4 linked regions of the Schizosaccharomyces pombe genome follow. The gene in region 1 interacts genetically with each later gene. Each region holds a gene or a part of one and is shown in the gene's direction. Other genes may lie near its edges.

Region 1 (7,793 bases):
ATTATATACACATAATGGAATCTGATGAAAGACAATCAAAACTGAAATTAGGACGAGTCAGAGCACGGAAGACAAAAAATAACGAAAACACCATGTTTTTTGATTCTAAGGAACATTCGACAGATGAAAGCGATGGTAACCTTGGAGAACATGATGTAAAGCGCAAGGTAGATTCTGTACCCGCCGATGAGACTAGCATCAATGGTTTTAAGAAATCTGTTAATCAGGCTGAGTATCCTGATAATGCTCAAATGTTCATGGATGAAAGTGTCGCAGAAGAAAGTCTTGTGGAAATTGATGACAGCGTCGAAGCCTACGACATGATTCAATCCAAAAACTACGAAAGCTTTGTTTGGAAATATGTGCTGCATTTAACCGATGAGATGTCGACAGAGGACGCTCTTTTTGAAACTATACCACTTAGTAATTTGCTGGCTCAAAAGCGAATGAAAGACAAGTTAAAAGGTTCCGACGTGTTTACGACTCTTAAAATAACTTCCAAGAGCTTGCACAACATTGACGAACATTCCGATAGTGATGATGAAGTTCAACCTATATGTTATTATTACAAGGATCCAGTTGTTTCCCATGCCCCGGGTGCAGCTGAAGTCGTATCTGAACTTGAAAGCGGATATGTAGGGTTAATATCCTATGATTTGTCTAATCTTCCAAATAGTACAGAAGATCCTGAAAGGAAACTTGCAAAACCTGTCTCTTCTTGGGAGTTGTCACTCCCTTTAAAATAGATGTCTTCATTTTCGAACTACAGTCTTGAAGCCTTTACAAAAACATAAATTGTTTTTTAGCGCTGCCTCTGTGTTGGATAGCAATCCTTTCTTTTTATCGTCATTTTCTGCCAAGTTTGTTTTTTCCTAGAAAGAAAATTTAATACTTCCTCTTTATAGCAATCAGTTATTGCCATTTATAATGATGAGTCCCAGTGTTCACAATATTCTGAAACTTTTTTTGTTAAAAACTGATTGCTTTCTTCCGTATAATTGTCCCAATATTCGCACCACAACTATAAAAATTTTTTTTAGGAGCCTTTACTTCCTTCTTAAAAGCAATAGTTACTTAATCAATTATAGCGACCCCGCTATTTGAGATACACATTTTATAAATTCTACACTTTTTGGAAACGAGCATTTTCTCTTGTCCCTTTATTTGACGATCCGACCGTTCACGCTACAAACGTCTACAAAATTTTTTTCTCTAGAAAGCATCTCTCCTTCTGTTTACTCCTGTTGCTACCGAAATTTTTTCTTTTTTTTTGTCCTCTGTGTTTTTTGATCAGGAATGTATATATCTTTAACCATTTTTTAGCGGGTTTTTTCTAAAGGTAAAGCTATTTAAGCCAGAAAAACAGTTCATTTTCCTTTTTCCTTCTAATTTCGGCAATTTCCCTTTTCACAAATATCACCATTTTTGAGTGGAAAGAAAAGCCTAGAGAGCGGAAACGCTGCCAAACCCATTAAAATTAATTATCTGTAATATTATAATCGTATTTAATAGCTATTCATAACACCCGTTTCGTCTAAACTCCCGTAATAAACCATGTGACTTTTGGCAATTTTACGCACCATATCGTAGAACACGGCGATAATTTCCATAGTGTTTCGCTAGGCTAGGGCAAGGCAAGCCAAAGACCATAGTGCCATGTGTACGACGCATGCAAATTTTAAGGGATTAGAGTGAACGACTCGCTACTGCCGTTCTCACCGCTCCACTGGGCAATGATGCCAACAACTGCAGTAATAATTATTCCTTAGCCATTTACCAATTGTTTCGAACTTCAATCATAAAATTGGGAATATTTTCATTTACTTGATGGGAAGCTGAGGAATGAAAATAGGTACCCAAAGGAATCGTTGTGAAAATAAAAATCAACAAAGCCAAATTCATGACGCTAGATTGAAGTTCATAACGTTTAGCAGGAAATAAGAAGAGCATATATACGATAAGATGATATTTCGAAAAAGTATTTCCAAATCTCCATCAAGCAAGGGAAGCACAGTATGCTTTCGCTGCGGACAGGCATTTCAACGTAGAGAGACACCTATTTCGTTTGGGGGTCATATGTGGCATAAGGATTGCTTCTGCTGTACGAAGTGCGATAAAGGATTGGAGCACAGTGATCAAATGCTGGTGCAAACCTCTGATGGACGACCGGTGTGTAGCTCTTGCGCCCATACCTGTACAGCGTGTCGTATGAGGATCAAGGACTATGCCCTAATGTCAGGCTACGACTCCTATCACAGAGAGTGTTTTCGTTGCCATGATTGCCGAAAGCAAATAATTGACTCTAACTTTAAAAGAGATAATAGGACTATATTTTGTAATGATTGTAAACAAGTCCGTCACCCTTCCAGGTCTTCAGACGAGAGCGCTGATTATCACAATTTTGAGGTTGATGTCACGATTAAGCCCACAGAGACAAAGTCTTCAGTGGAATCTAATAAGTCTTTAAGCATTGAAATTATGTCTCCTCAAAAGCCACCATTATCACCTTTTGGTGGAAGCAGAGACCGCTTAGTTAGCGAAACACCGACTAACATGAGTCAGGCAGAAGGGGGTAATGTGCCGAACGATGGACAGGATAGTAATCTTGCGTCTAATTCTGCAGATTCGCTGCTGCCTAGTGCCAAAAATCGAAGTTTTTCCTCGTTTACGAGTTTTGAATCGCCGATGAAGTATGACGATTCTTTCTTTCCTATTTCACCTTCTATATCTCCGTTACAAAAAGTTAACAAGCAGCAACAAATTGAGTCTCCTACAGCCACATTTCCGTTAAGCAAAAATACTTGGAAGAATCGATTCCATACGTTTCACAAACAATCTTTTACTCCTGTTAACGATAGCTCTTCCTCGGACAGCTTAAAACCCACAATTAATGAGGAAGCCCTGGACGACTTTGCTGGCTCTGCTTCTCCTTATAAAACCATGTCATTGACTGACCGAGCAGAGCCAATTGTCATGAATGGACATATGCGTTCTCTTCACAATGCCACCTCTCCCTTTCGGCCTTTTTCTCCCTCTTACAGGTCGAGTGATACGCATTCACCGAGAACCCGCTCACCGAATGTCCAAACCCATAAAAAAACCTCTTCTCAGCCATCTGACCTTTCATCTTTTGCGCAGCTACTTTCACCGCCTCAGGTTCTTTCTCCCAAACCAAATGGCGGGGGCCATAAAAGTTTTCGGCATTCGCATTCTCTTTCTGAGACTTCTCAGCAAACACTCGTTCCTTCGCTGGGATCTAATGGAGAGTACCATTTACCGACAAACGATCATTCTTCAACTCCAGCACAATCAGAGCGAGATTCGGATGTTGAAGAATTGCGTGAACAGTTGGAAAATCTTACTGCTCTTACCAAAAAATTGTCCGAAAGGCTCTCAAGTTCTACGTTTGACAACTCTAAGTTTATTCGTACGGAAGATAAGGATACTGTTCGTTCGGCTAAACTTGAAATTTGTGAAAAGTTTTTTTCGTTTGCTGATGTGACAGATGATCCCACGCTGAAAGATCCGAAACATCAGGATTTGGTGGCTGCCGCCAATGCTTACATGGCAATGCTTCGTGAGAGTTACGGCACTGAAATAAACAATCTTTTGGAAAGGAGAAATGAGCTGCTTGACGATTACAATAATGTACAAAAAATTTTAAATGAATCGCTTGAAGCATCTGTACACCTAAATACCAAAAATCTCGAGTTGGCCGACTTAAACAACAATTTGGTAAAACAAATTCAGCATAGAGTACCTCCTGAAAACCAATCCAATTTGGAGCATACTATTACCACATCTTCCAAAAATACAACCAGCAGTATTAATCCACTTACTGCCGTGAGTAGCAACTCTGGGCAGTCATCAGGTCGACCTGGTCCGTTGTCACCAAATTTGAATGTGACTACGAGAATTGACATTAAGGGAAAAAAGGGAAGTATGCATTTGCAACCAAGAGATGTAAACCGTAAAGTCCCGTTCAAATCAATGCATACTAAATCAAAGTCTGCCGATCCTGTAGTAGGAAATGAAGATCGTACTCAATGTGACCATGTGTTTCATGTTAATGCCATATTCAAGCCCTCAAGGTGTTATATATGCTCGGAGAGCGTATGGGGATCTGAACTCCGCTGCTTTCATTGCTCAATTTCATGCCATTCGCGGTGTTTAAAAAGGCTGTTTGCAGAGTCGGAGCATGAGAAAACAATGAGTGAAACTGTAAGTGAAAATAGTAAATGGATGCCGGAAATGCCAACGAGGATGCCTCCTCCTGGGCCTTCACCAACGATGTTTGGACGATCGTTAGAAAATCAATTGAAAATTGAAGGGTCGGTTTTGCCTCAAGTAATTGCTATGTGCGTTTCTTGCGTGGATGCGCATGGATTGGAGGTTGAAGGTATTTATAGGATATCTGGCAGTGCTTCTCAGGTCCGAGTGTTAGTCGACGAATTTGAAAACGGGTCTATCCGAATGGAGCATTTGACTTCTGACTTGTTTGCCTGTACGTCGGTTTTGAAAACATATTTGCATCGCTTACCGGAACCAGTTATACCTGGCACTCAATACGAGGAGTTGTTGGAAGCGGAAAAAATCGAAAAGGAAGAGGAAAAAATTGAACGGGTAGTGGAAGTAATGAAAACGCTTCATCCTGCACATTTGAGCGTATTTCGATTTTTGATTGCACATTTGGGTCGTGTATGCAAGCACGCGGAGAAAAATTTGATGAACTCGAAAAATGTCTCTACAGTATTTGCACCTACTTTAATGCGAGATAAGGTGAATCGGTTTGATTTACAGCATGCTACCAAAAAGAGTACGGCTCTTCAGTTTATGCTTGATAACGTGGATAAGATTCTTCATAATCTGTAGCTTGTTTTATGAATAATGATTAAAATATCGGGGAACTTGTATTTTTCTAGGGAAGAAGGAACTTTACGATAATAATAACCACTTGTGTTCCAAACTTCAATAAGGAATACTTTTCGAAGAAATAATGAGACTTTTTTTACACCTCTTTTTTTTAATGAAAAAAGGAAAACAAAGATATTAGCATAACACTCTTACATTTACGACTGAACTATTCAAACTGGGTAATACAGGATGTACATTATGACAAGCAGGCAAGCACACGCACGCTCATCAGATACAAATAAATACGCACGCAAATGGAGATTGTATAAAGATATTTGCCATTAAGCATTGCGAGATGCAAAATAAGGAAAATATAATGCTAATTTGATAAAAAAAAAAGAAAACAAACTCTTTTTAACGATACTAAACAGAACTCAACTCGATTTGGTTCGAGTATTTCGTTTCTCATAACTTGAACATAAACACAACATAAACAACTCATCAAAGACACATACATACACAAACACTACGGTCGTGCCATCATGTCTCGAAATCTCAAAGAATGGTATGGGGAACATGGTGAGGGATGAATGGCAGTGAACGTGAAAGGGGATGGATGGCATAATTAAATGTAATCTGCAACATTGTCAGTCAGGGTATGACTAATCAAAAAATAAAAATTACAAGGGAGTAAGAAAAAAAAAACAAAAGCAATCAAATAGTACTACCTAAAAGGCTTATATCCCTATCAAGATAAGGATCGTTTTGCTCTTCCTCATCAAGTTGTTCCTCGTTATTGTTTGCATTTTTCTTTTGTGTTCCATTAGCGCTCTTGGAGCGTGATTTCTTTCCTCCAAAGATGCTGCCAAGACCGCCAAGAGACGAGAAATTAACACGGCCAGTATGTTGACTGGAACGGTTGCGAGTAGACTCGGACCTGGAGTCATCGTCGCCGATATCTTCCTGAGTGGCATGGTAGCTGGAGCTCTCCATGTCATCCTCCTCTTCCTGGACCAAAGGTCCGGCCTCTGGATATTCATTCATGTATTCGTTGAATGAATGAACGCCCATCGAAGGATGGCGTTGTCTACCGGAGAAGGAGTGTTTGTCAACATGATGACCATGGGTTTCTTGAGTTTGATCACTAGAAGTAAAACGATTTGCCATTGCGGTGGATTTGAAGAAATTCGATTAGTCAATTAGTATTGGATGAAATTCAATTTCAAATTGATTTGGATTTGGATTGGATTGGACTGTCAATAACAATTTTCAACTCAATTGGTTATTGTTTGTTTTGTTATTGTTGTTGTTAGATTGTCAGTGGGTGGGTAATTTAGCTTGACTCGCTGATGATCAATAAGGGTGGATATGAATACGATTCGGTATTTGTTATTACGAAGGATGAAATATATATGTACTGTATTTTGGGAATGGAATTTTCACTCTTAGTGCCCAACCTTCTATTTATCTCCTTGCTGTGGCCAAATGTCATACGTATTGGGTTGCTACATTGAATGTAAGTGTGCCTTACTCGTCCTTTCACCCGCAACTCCATTGTTATCCAGCATCGTCATCCACTGCAATCGTGGCGCCAACCTCTTCACTTCCACCACCCATATAGCATATTTCCGTGAGTGTGTACCTCGGCGAGATCCGTTAAGTGGGTTTACGAAACAGGCCAAGAGGAGGAGGAGGGTTTGGTGATAATGCAATGGAGCACACAAGTAAGCAGGACGAAGTATGATTGATGGATGGATGAAGGAAAAGAAGAGAAAATGGCAGGTTGGTTTAGAAGAGGCTGTTCATCCCGTGGTATCGCAGTCTCAAGTATGGCACGGAAAACAAGCGTCGTTTTAATTGTCCAGGAGAAAAACAAAAAGGAAACAAGACTTTAGAGGGTCAGTCTTTTTTTTATGTCTTTTCTATTTTTGCTTTATGTTGTTGTTTTATATTCTTTCTTTCTTTTTTCTGCCTTCTTGACAATTAATTGATTTCCGCGGCAAGCTTAGTCAGTCTATAATACGGTGTTGTGCATCAGAGATGTTATGGCATTGCGTCATGATCGACACCCTTCCTAATCCCTTTTTTCTCCGCCTTCGCTTCCCCACACTTGGAGTCACAAGGCTGAGTCGATGCTACCTGAAAAGATGGGGTAATGGCATGACGAAAAAGACTGCAGGAAGAGAGGGGTGGGTGAAAGAAAGGGATTCAAACGAGACATCAATAATGGATGGAAGAAATAAAAACATAAAAGAAAAAAGAAAAAAAAAAGAAAGAAAAAGTTAAAGAAGATGAAAATTTTTGTTTGTTTGTCTCAGAACTAAAGTTTTTTTTGCTCAATTTTCTGTTCAATTTCTTTGATTCGCATTTTGTTTTGTTCCACTTTTTCTTTTTTTTTTGTCTTTGTTCCACCATTGGTTTTCTTTATCCATCTCTGTCCATTGTTGGTAATCTTGCTTTATGATTATAGGAGTCCTTTGTTTTCTCTCTCTCTTTTTTTTTTTATTTCTTTGTATGAATTGCCTTTTTTTTGACTAGCGTTCTTTGTCATACATGTCATCTTGAAATAGATGGTTTTGATTGTTTCTTGTTTTCAATAACTTTTTTTTTTTTTTTTCTGCTCTCTTTCTCTTTTCATTTTTTTTTTGGTCAGCGTGAGATACTGGCTTTCATTGAGCTACAATAAATAGTTTTGACTTTTTATTTCTATTTCTATTTCTTCTTTATTTTCCTGCTGTCTTTCTCTTCTCGCATACACAAAAGAGACTCAAACATACACACACACATACTCGGAGAGTTTCTCTCTCTCTCTCTCTCTTTTTTTTAGAGTTTCCTTTTTGCTCACTTGTTTTTCTTTGATCGTCGTTCTTTACGACATCTTTGTATTATAACGAAAATAACCTTTATTTGGACTTTCTTTTTATTCACTGTGGATGAGC
Region 2 (3,847 bases), 2.6 Mb from region 1:
GAGTAATAGCCATACACAAGATAGGCTCTTGATGGCCTGTATACTCGCCAAGTAATTGGCCAGACCGAACATCCCATTTTCGAATAACACAATCCGCGCATGCAGTCAACAAATATGGAGTGTTGGGTAAAAACTTACAATCAATAACCGCTTGTTCATGGGGAAGGGATTTTCTAAACTTAAGGGATGCAGAATCGTAAAGCGCGACAGTACCATCGACACTAGCACACGCACATATAGGTAAGGCCGTGCAAAGTGCGATAGCTTCTACACTTTCAGTTTGGGCCTCCAAAGAAGCAAGAATATGACTACTATTAATGTTGACAACTTTTACTTTTCCTGACGAACCTCCTAAGAAAAGAACGTTACCTTCAGCATTACAGTCGAAGCTGGTCCAACCGGCGGCAGTTTCTTCATTACCAGGATCAAAGCGATGATCATCACTAGACATTCTGCATTCTGGTGCTCCAGTAGCCGGGTTCCAAACAATTAATGTACCAGAATCATCTACGGTTGCTAAACGCTTGCCAACACCGGGTGGGATGAATTTTCCAGCATTTACAGGTGCCGTATGGCCATACATAACCTGAACCACCTTACCAGAGGGAAGACTCCACATCCATATACTTCCGTCATTACAACCGGCGGCTAAGAACAAGCCCTTAGGGTGCCAAGATAACCAAACAATTTCGTCCACAGTTTCAAAAGCAGTAATGAACTCAAAACCTGTACTGGATTTCCACAATCTGACTTGACTATCCATACCACCAGTAGCAATATAAGTTCCATCAAAGCTCCAGTCTATAGCTACTATGGAGTCTTTATGTCCTGTCAATTGACATATTTGTTCACCGGTAGTAATGTCCCATATATACCCTAGGTCATCTCCTCCACCAGACGCGCACAGATTTGAATGCACTGGATTGATAGAGACGCTGAATACAGAGTCTTTATGCTCGAAAAAACCTTGAACAGACATGTCCATAACCATGTTATTCATAGTATCGTTTTGTTCTTGCTCAGCTTCGTCCTCTGTGACACCTTGGTCCATTAGTTTGTCATTATCTTTAATAACTTCTTCTACTTCATTTTCTGCTATGTATAATTCTTGATTTTCTTCTTCTTCGGCCATTATTAATGTGGGTGTGTACCAGCTAAAAAGCTTTGCAAAGGTCAAGCTTAGTAAGGAAATCAGTATGTATGTAATTTTACTTAGGTAATAATATATTAATTTTATTCATTATATATACATATAATAAAAATAAATAACAAAAGTATCTTAAAATAAAACTAGTTTAATTAAATTATTTATTACGTTTAACCAGTGAATGAGTGCAAGATAGTATACAAAAATTTTCAATATTTCAAAATGCTACAATTCATATTAGACTCAAATATATATAGTTATAACCTAATTCTTCATAAACAATAATCTTTCGTAGTAATCCACTTCTTGAAGTTTTCATATTCGTAATTGATCCACCATCTGTAATAGCCAAATAAGAATTCCTACGGCCATTATTACTGGATACGCTGAATTAACGTATGAAATGGTTTGTTTACTTTCTTGAGCGTTTTAAAGCTATAAAGGGAAAGAAAGTATTTTTGTTTGTTTACAATGAAGTAAACAAAAAAAAACTACTTAAGTGACAAGCGCAAGCAAACACTTCTCTGGAGCAACTATCATAAAGTATGAAGCACAACGAAGTTTTTGGATGGACACTGAAGGTGCTTTCATTTCTTTTGGTGGTAATCCCGGCCAATGCATTAGACAAACATGGTTGGAGAAAACAATCAATTTATTCTTTGTTGACAGATAGGTTTGCTTCTACTAATCCAAAACCCTGTAATCCAGAAGATCGTGAATACTGTGGAGGCAACTGGAGGGGAATCATTGATAAATTAGATTACATACAAGGTATGGGTTTCACTGCTATTTGGATTTCTCCTATTATCAAAAATATTGAAGGAAGGACAAAATATGGGGAAGCTTACCACGGCTATTGGCCGCAAGACCTATACACTCTCAATCCACATTTTGGTACTGAACAGGACTTAATTGATTTAGCAGACGCTTTACACGATCGAGGCATGTATTTGATGGTCGATACAGTAGTCAATCACATGGGATCATCTGATCCTCGGAACATTGACTACGGCATCTATAGACCATTCAATCAATCAAGTCATTATCACCCAATGTGCCCAATTGAGCAAGACAAACCTTTGTCGCTCGAACAATGTTGGATTGGTACTGAAGATATGACATTGCCGGACATTGATACAGAAAATCCTCAGATTATTGAAACATTGTACAATTTTATCCACGATCAAGTGAAGCAGTTCAAAATCGACGGCCTCCGTGTTGACGCAACTAAACACGTTCGACGTACTTTTTGGCCAGGATTTTGCGAATCTGCTGGAGTCTATTGTCAAGGAGAAGAATGGACAGGGCAGGCGGATCTGTTTTGCGAATGGCAGGAGTACATGGACGGATTGCATAACTTTCCTGTCCAAGGTGTAGCAGCTGAATCTGTGATCCCACTAAATGACCGCGCTTTAAGGAAAACTGCAATCGCAATGAATCTTGTTGCCCATCACTGCAAAGATAGTACTCTGTTAGGTCTTTTCTTGGAGTCTCAGGACGCACCAAGATTAGCTGCATTGAATAACGATTATACCGTACTAAAAAATGCGATGACTTTAAACCTTATGTCGGATGGAATTCCTATTGTTTTCTACGGACAAGAACAGATGTTTAATGGAAGTCACGATCCCGTAAACCGTCCTGCTCTTTGGGATCAAGGATATAATACAGATGGTCCTTTATATCAGTATACCAGTAAGGTCAATAAAATTCGCCGTGACTTAATTAACTCTGAAGACGGCGAAATATACATTAGGTCCATAACACATGCCATCATGATAGGTGATCACGTTATGGTCATGTACAAAGGTCCTGTAATCACATTCATTACCAACTATGGAGCCGTGGACAAGGAATATTTAATTAAAATGCCTGGTTCAGAAACAATGATTGATCTATTGACCTGTACGCTCATTGAAGTAGAAGGAGAGGTGATGAGAACATCTATTAAGAAAGGGGAACCCAAAATATTGTATCCCTACCAACTGGCCTTTCGCGATGGATTTTGTCAAGAACAGATAACTTTACAAGAGATTGATGATGTTTTTATGGGAAGAAATGAAATTAATGGGCCCGATAGGAAGTAGGATGGAAAGAGAAAACTTCTTTTTATTTATAATTTTTAAAACTCGTGACAACAACTTAGTCACTAGGCATCACTTGTGAGTTTGCAATACATTTATAGCTAATGTATTTTTTTTTAATATAAAAAAAACCAAAAAGAAAAAAAAAAGAGTCGTTACTAAAGAAATAGTATGCTTAAATAAGCCATACAATCGGTAGTCATTCACATCATTCCCAAGCACATACTAATAAAAACTTAAAGGTACTTCAATTGCTTCGTAAACCTATAATAGTACAAACAATTGTACGAGAATGAGGTTGGCGACGAAACTCAGCTAACTGAATGTCTTGCCAAGTACCCAAGCTCAACTTCCCATTAGTAATGGGAACAGTTAAACTAGGTCCAATTAAGCTAGATTTAACATGAGCAGGCATATCGTCTAATCCTTCTGCAGTATGACGGTAGCCTGCTGATTCAGGGACAATTTTATCCAATATATCGTTCATGTCAGCTCGCGTATCTGCGTCCCAATTCTCATTGATAGTAAGAGCAGCAGAGGTATGCTGTATAAAAAAATTTACTGTACCAGAAGAAAAGCTTTTTAATTCTGGAAGCTTTTTGACCAAATCGTTTGT
Region 3 (2,876 bases), on another chromosome or scaffold:
AATACGTAAAACGTTAACGTTTCAATAGGAGTGAAAAGTTTGGTAAAGAGAGACTTGTCTTGATCCTTTCCCCACTAATCTCCAACATCATTAACACTACAGCTTTCGCTGCTTTAAAAAGTGACATACCTCTTTTGATGGATTTTTTGCATTAACTTTTATAGTATTGACCTGATCAGGAGGCCCGAGTTCTTTAAATTGTGCGATGGATTTAGAACGCGCATCTAATGACTCGTTTACACGAGTTTCTAAAAACCTATCGTCATTGTTTAGAACTTCAGCTCAATTATATTTAAGGAACTTACTCTGGTATATCCTTAAAGAATGAATCACTCATATATCATAAATTGGAATTAATATGCAAAGCAGCGTTCAATTCGGCCTCGTGGCTGGTTCCAGTTAAGAGGTTATGGTGTAGCCGCAGCCTGACTTGCTGTAACGAAGTGTAGCAAGCGACAATTAGGCAATCGTCCACAATTTCCTTATATATAAAGAATAAATAAATATCATTAAATTATGCATTTAGTGTATTTGAAAACCAAAAAATAATTGAATATTATACATTTTGATTTGTATCTTCATTCATCCTGACAATTGATGATTTAGGGAAGTCAAAAGTAGTACCCAACGAATAGTGTAGCGATAATTTTTTCTTAAGATTACAACTCATTGATTAATACAATTGAAATAAAAATTTCTTGTTGGTGCGGAATCCAACGCAATTAGTATTAAAAAAAAGAACAGCTTTATGTTAGTTTCCACTAAAAGTTAGACCAGTCATACGCACAATGTTAGCTTTAAAAAACTCGCACAATACGCTGGTAAGCATATGATAAATTAATACAATACTTCCAAGCAATTGCGAATGTAAGTTGCTGTGAATTTTTTTCCGAATTTCGAAATCTTTAACGAACCTTTAATGAAACGTCTAAAAGTAGAATCAGGAGTTATTGATTTTTGCATTATATATCTCCTTGACAAGAAATTTTTTGTTTCATCTAGCCATACATTTTGATAGATGTCTCTTGCAATGAACCATTGTTTGTTTAAAATATCCTAAAACCAAATAACATGTGCGAATACGTTATTTAATAGTGCAAAATTCTACAAAGAAAGAATCGAAATTTATGCTTAAGCCATTCATGTTAACGCTCATCAAGAAAGCTAATTTGACTAAATACAATCAATGGAGAGTGCTAGTATACATTGCTTGTTTTAACTGACATTTTTAAATTAACTACGATAAGTGTTAAGATTAAACAAAGTGAGAAACGTAACAGTGCTTAAGTTCAGTTTTCTTGCGAATGTATTGAATTACTTTCACTTGCCCAGCTAGTAAACAATTAAGGCTTTGGTACCGCTTTGTCCTTCTAATAAATTATGGTTAGTAGCGAAAATAACCAGCCTTTTGACTGATGAGAGGTATATATTCATTTGTCAATTCAAATTAATACGGCCTTTTGAATATTTATTTACTGAATAGTGTTGATTAATAAAAAGGCAATCTGTATAGCGATGAATCGTTAGCATCACCAAAGTCATTTTAATCAAACTGCGCTATATTTTACTAAGAAAAGCACGTTACCAATGTTAGATTAACGAATGTACATATTGAACTCAATAAATGTGTCCGACCCTTACCGAACGGGGTTTCAAGAGAGTGTCATGGATTTTAAGTTACCGTTCCCCCATCTCTGTACGATTTAGCAATTCATTGAGAAAATGGCTTTTGCTTGGAAGAAAAACTTTAGGTATGGATTCATTTCTTGAATGTGAACATTAAATATACCCTGATAGTTTTACTAATGAATGAATATTTGTAGTTATAGCAAATATGCTTCTATTTGTTCCCAAACTGTTCGTCAAGCCTTAAAACCGGAAATTAAAAACGAGGTTAAAACTCATGGTGATGCAGAGTTCCTTTATACTCGATGGAAAAATGGCGCTCAGGAAAAAACGGAGTCTTACAATTCGGCAAAGTCTGCTGATAAGGAATGAAAATAAAGGCTACAAACGAATTTTTTGTCCTTCATTACCCATTGGTAATATTTCAGCTTCATTTGATGTTTCACTCATTTCAACAGATATCACTGATGGTTTACAATCTCTTATAATGATTACTATATTCGACTTAACGTTGAATTACTAACTGATCCTTTCAATAAATTTTTATTACTTTTTTTAATGATGAAGTTTAATAGAACAAGGTAGTTTGCTCTGTTTTCTTAAAACTGTTGAGAATGGCACTTCAAATCATTGTGGTTGCTCTGTATTTTCGATCAAATCTATAATCGGCCTTTGTCTCAAAACCAAAAATTGTTGATTTTACTATAATGAGATGTAGCTAATTTAGAAGTAAGTGAGTTTTGTCACTAATATCATTCATTAACGTAGTTTTTGTTTTTGCTACTACCGAGATCATTTATAGTCGCATTACACAGTAAACTTACTACAATACTATGTTCTTAATTGTTTGTATCGTTATCTAGTTTCTAAAAAATGGCTTCAACGTCGAACAAAATTGCTTGTTCTACTGTTTTCAAACAATCATGCAAACTCACCCATTAAAAAATTTTTAATTGTATGAATACAATTTTAGAGCCCGAATGAAAGAAACAGGGTATACATACGAAATCGCATTACATTCAAAACAAACTCCACTTGATGCCTTGTACTCTTTCTCTTCTTGCAAGGATATAGTGTATCGTTTAACTTCGCTATTTAGTGACTACTTGGGTCTCTAGATATGCCACTAAAGACGTGTTTGAGACCTGTCTGCACCTGTCTATGTTGGCGTTTGTAGTCGAAGGCAACGTGCGGTATTAACGATGCAGAAAATCAACACACTCTTCTTTTTGAAAACCACGAACTAAATA
Region 4 (3,583 bases), 2.2 Mb from region 1:
TTAGAGGATCAACCTGACAAGAATGTGCAGTCCTCGGCAGTTGAAAATAAAAACAAGCACACAAATCTGGTAACGTCGAGTTTCAACCTAACTAAACCGATGAAAAGTTTTATAAGGAGAAATGGTCTAAGGGTGCAAGAAAGTGTCACAGACGAAACCGACTTTGTCATCCTTGGTTCACCTCCACTTCGGAGGACACATAAGTTTTTACTGGCGACTTCTCTAGGTATACCACTTGTCTCTTCTCAATACTTGACAGACTGTATAAAATCAGGTAAAGTTTTAGATTTTCGTAGCTACAAATATAAAGACGAGGAAGCAGAAGCCAAGTGGGGATTTCGTTTGGACGATATCCACAGAAGAACGTGTTTCAATGGGAAAAGACTATACATTACAAAGGCAATTCGAGATTCGATGGTAGGGGATTCTATACACGGACTTTACTCAATTTTGGAAACATCTGGAGCTGAGGTAAGTGAAAGATGGAGAATATCTAGTTATGATAGGCTAATGATTTAAATAGATTGTTGGTGATATTAAAAGGGCTCAAGAGAAGGACACAATTATACTTGCTCAACCTGACAACGATCAAGAAGGACGGAATATGAGTGCTACTGGTTTAAATGTGTACAAGATTGAACTAGTAGCTTTATCCATCTTGCGTGATCGAATTGATTTTGATGAATTTTTGATTGACTATGATGCTGACAGTCCCACCAAAGTAATTGGAAAAAGAAATGTCTCAAAGGCATCCCGAACCGGGCAAGGAAGAAAACGATCCTCTCGTTCATCTTGGAACAAACCAAGTGCAAAGGAGCAAAGAACATAAAATTAAAGGTAAAGAGGACATCGTTTACTTTGTCTATTATTTATTTATAGAAGTATATTTGCAAACATATATTCTTGAGTTTCTTCTATGAAGGAGGACCATTAGAAATTATACAAAAATAGAATTTTAATAATGATATTAAATAAACGAGCGTATTTAAGGGCGAAGGATAAAAAACCTACACGGTTATTTAATGAAATATGCGATCTGTTAGTTGATTGTTAAAATCTTGAACCAATAAATTCAAGATACTCAACATAAATGAATCGATTTCAATACGCTTTTTTTTCTATTTTCCAGATAATGTATGAAAAAAAATAGTTTGACCAATTCCCGAAATTTATAATTATTACATCTCAATTAAAAAAACAAATAAAGAAATAAATAAAATGATATGAAATGAAGTACAAAAGGTTAATAAAAATAAATAACAAATTTCTACACGATTAAAAGATATAAAAGGTAAAAATCTTTATGAGTAGAAAAACGCATATACTTATTTGCGGTTTTAAGAGGAAGTAAAAGGAGGTAATTCCGAAACATAAAAATAAAGGGGCCTCATTATAGTGCTTCTTTTTAGTCTTGCAATTTTATTTTATTTTTTGAAAAGGTTTAGTTGTTTGTTTATTGACTACAAAACACAGCAAATCCACTCGTCATATCAGATCAAGCATACCGCATATCTAACAAATGATTCTGCAATGCATTGCACTTCACTGTATAAAATTTATTCATAAAATGCGCAATATGTATATCAGGCACTTATAGGTTTACCCAAATATGCTGTTAAATGGAATACACAGTTTTTTGCGCCATCTTACCATTTATAAAGCGTGAATTTAGAGACCCGCACATGCTTCCGCACACGGCCAAATGAGCGCTAAACCTCGGACGAGAAAGTGACCTGTGTGCTGTTTCTATTTATCGCATCGCTACGATGACATCATAGTGTGGTGAAAGCACCAGCTGTTATAAGCAGACCAACGAACCAACTCACTGTTCAACAATATTAATCAAGTTCTATTTCTTATACAAGCAATTTGGAAAATAAATCAAGTGTTAAATACATTCTTTGCTTGAGTGTATTTTATATTTTTTAGTGTTCTGTCCTTGCAATCGAAAAAAGCGCATTGACAGGTTTCGAAGCGAACAAGGAAATATCGGTTTTACTCTTGAAACAGAAATTTAACTGTATGTGAAAATTTTTTTTGGAGTTTCATTTACTAATAAAGAAGAATAGTGTGGTATTAAAAAAAATACGCAAAATATTGACTACATATTTGTTGAAATAAATTGGCGAAGGATTTATACGTATTTTATATTTATTTTTCCTCTTTTCAACACCATTATAGCGTTGCATACAATTTTCACTGCTGACAACCTTTTAAATTTTTTTTACTCTTTATTTTTTCCAGCCCCTTGTAATTAGGAAATCTAGCTTTCTCCTTCATCATGCCCCAATTTTTCAGGACCCAGCCTTTGACCGATAGGACTACAAGTCATGGTTTTGCTGAAGTTTCTTCCGAAGACCATTGTTATTGTGTTTGGCTCGTACCTGCCATTTCCTCTGATATTGAGTTGAGATATCGAACGTTTGTCGACTGGGCTGTGTGTCACAAAGTCGACTTTGAAGAAATGCAGTTACCTACCGCTCCTCACATTACTTTAGCTCGTGGTATCAAGCTGAAACCAAATCAATCGTTTAAGAGTGTTTTGCAATATATCGCTTCCAAGCGCAAGTCTCCTTTGAACATAAAGTTCGGCAAAGTCGCTATTGGGGATTCCTTCTACAAACGTGTATATATTCAGGTAGAGAAAACTCCCGGCTTGGAAGAATTGCAAAATGCTGCTTATGACTTGGCCGATACTTCTGATCCTTTTAATGTCATCGAACATCCCTATATGCCTGTCATTTATGCAAAGAGTATTTGCTCTGACTACTCTACTTCCGACCCCATTGAGACGATTTCTTCAATCGGTCAAGCCAGTTGGGGAAAGGCCTGTTTTCTTGAACTCATTCAATTAAACAAGGCCAACCATCAAGGATACGTCTGTGATCGTATTGAATTTACCGTCTAATCATTTGCTTTCCAATCTTTTTTTTTTTTTTCTTATTGATACTTTGCAAATATACCTAAACAAAAAGAGATATAGCAGGATGATACCTAGTTATTTCGCTTTAGTATTTTAATGAAGATTTAAAAAGCCTTTTTGTAACTTTATTTATTTTTATCCCTTAATGGTTTTATTAAGGTGAAAACAATCTCGCTTAAATGGATTATTCAAACCCTTAATTTTTTTTGCTTCATGTATTAACAATTTCTACCTTTATAGTATCTTTTTCACTAACTTAAATGCATCTGGTGATCACCTTTCCTGCTTTACTTTTAAACTTTGACTAAGGAAACTATTTACTTGTCTGCAGCTACTAAAAACAATATTTCGCGTTATATAAATTACCCATGTACGTGATTCAATGAAATAACATGCAGCGGTAACTATTCACACGGCGGAACCTTTCTATATCAATAAATAGATCATAATATTAGTTAACTACTACGTTGATATGGCATCTCAAATACTTATCGACCAATCCTTTGTAAACATGACTTATTTATTTATTCATTTATCTACCTTTATGCTTCAACTAACGTTTTCTATCAAACAAAAGCTGAGAATAGATGTAACATTTCCAAATTTTATCTTACATAAGAAGCATCAACAACTATCGTCATCAGGATTTCACAAATCACG

What was found.
Region 2: mutations in rga3 (region 1) and mde5 together harm fitness more than expected from each alone (negative genetic interaction), as found in Schizosaccharomyces pombe (one large-scale study listed by BioGRID).
Region 3: mutations in rga3 (region 1) and atp15 together harm fitness more than expected from each alone (negative genetic interaction), as found in Schizosaccharomyces pombe (one large-scale study listed by BioGRID).
Region 4: mutations in rga3 (region 1) and SPOM_SPACUNK4.15 together harm fitness more than expected from each alone (negative genetic interaction), as found in Schizosaccharomyces pombe (one large-scale study listed by BioGRID).

What each region holds. Positions count from the first base shown.
Region 1 is NC_003424.3:5,123,008-5,130,800, reverse strand, and holds rga3 (Rho-type GTPase-activating protein Rga3), read left to right. Parts: upstream 1-1,767; 5' UTR 1,768-1,962; coding exon 1,963-4,872; 3' UTR 4,873-5,568; coding exon of another isoform or gene 5,569-6,021; 3' UTR 6,022-6,187; coding exon of another isoform or gene 6,188-6,409; 3' UTR 6,410-7,473; downstream 7,474-7,793. Other genes in the region: RNA polymerase I upstream activation factor complex subunit Rrn5, read left to right, coding at 1-746; protein mug108, read right to left, coding at 5,569-6,021; SPOM_SPAC29A4.22 (uncharacterized protein), read right to left, coding at 6,188-6,409. UniProt on the Schizosaccharomyces pombe protein: GTPase-activating protein for Rho-type proteins.
Region 2 is NC_003424.3:2,536,769-2,540,615, forward strand, and holds mde5 (alpha-amylase), read left to right. Parts: upstream 1-1,673; 5' UTR 1,674-1,692; coding exon 1,693-3,234; 3' UTR 3,235-3,313; downstream 3,314-3,847. Other genes in the region: ribosome biogenesis protein Sqt1, read right to left, coding at 1-1,132; SPOM_SPAC4A8.02C (uncharacterized protein), read right to left, coding at 3,479-3,847.
Region 3 is NC_003423.3:3,783,309-3,786,184, reverse strand, and holds atp15 (F0-ATPase epsilon subunit Atp15), read left to right. Parts: upstream 1-1,682; 5' UTR 1,683-1,722; coding exon 1,723-1,751; intron 1,752-1,823; coding exon 1,824-1,998; 3' UTR 1,999-2,329; downstream 2,330-2,876. Other genes in the region: bch1 (ChAPs family protein), read right to left, coding at 130-256, 306-337. UniProt on the Schizosaccharomyces pombe protein: Mitochondrial membrane ATP synthase (F(1)F(0) ATP synthase or Complex V) produces ATP from ADP in the presence of a proton gradient across the membrane which is generated by electron transport complexes of the respiratory chain.
Region 4 is NC_003424.3:2,880,430-2,884,012, reverse strand, and holds SPOM_SPACUNK4.15 (2',3'-cyclic-nucleotide 3'-phosphodiesterase), read left to right. Parts: upstream 1-1,831; 5' UTR 1,832-2,020; intron 2,021-2,069; 5' UTR 2,070-2,281; coding exon 2,282-2,908; 3' UTR 2,909-3,050; downstream 3,051-3,583. Other genes in the region: BRCT domain protein Mdb1, read left to right, coding at 1-471, 524-829.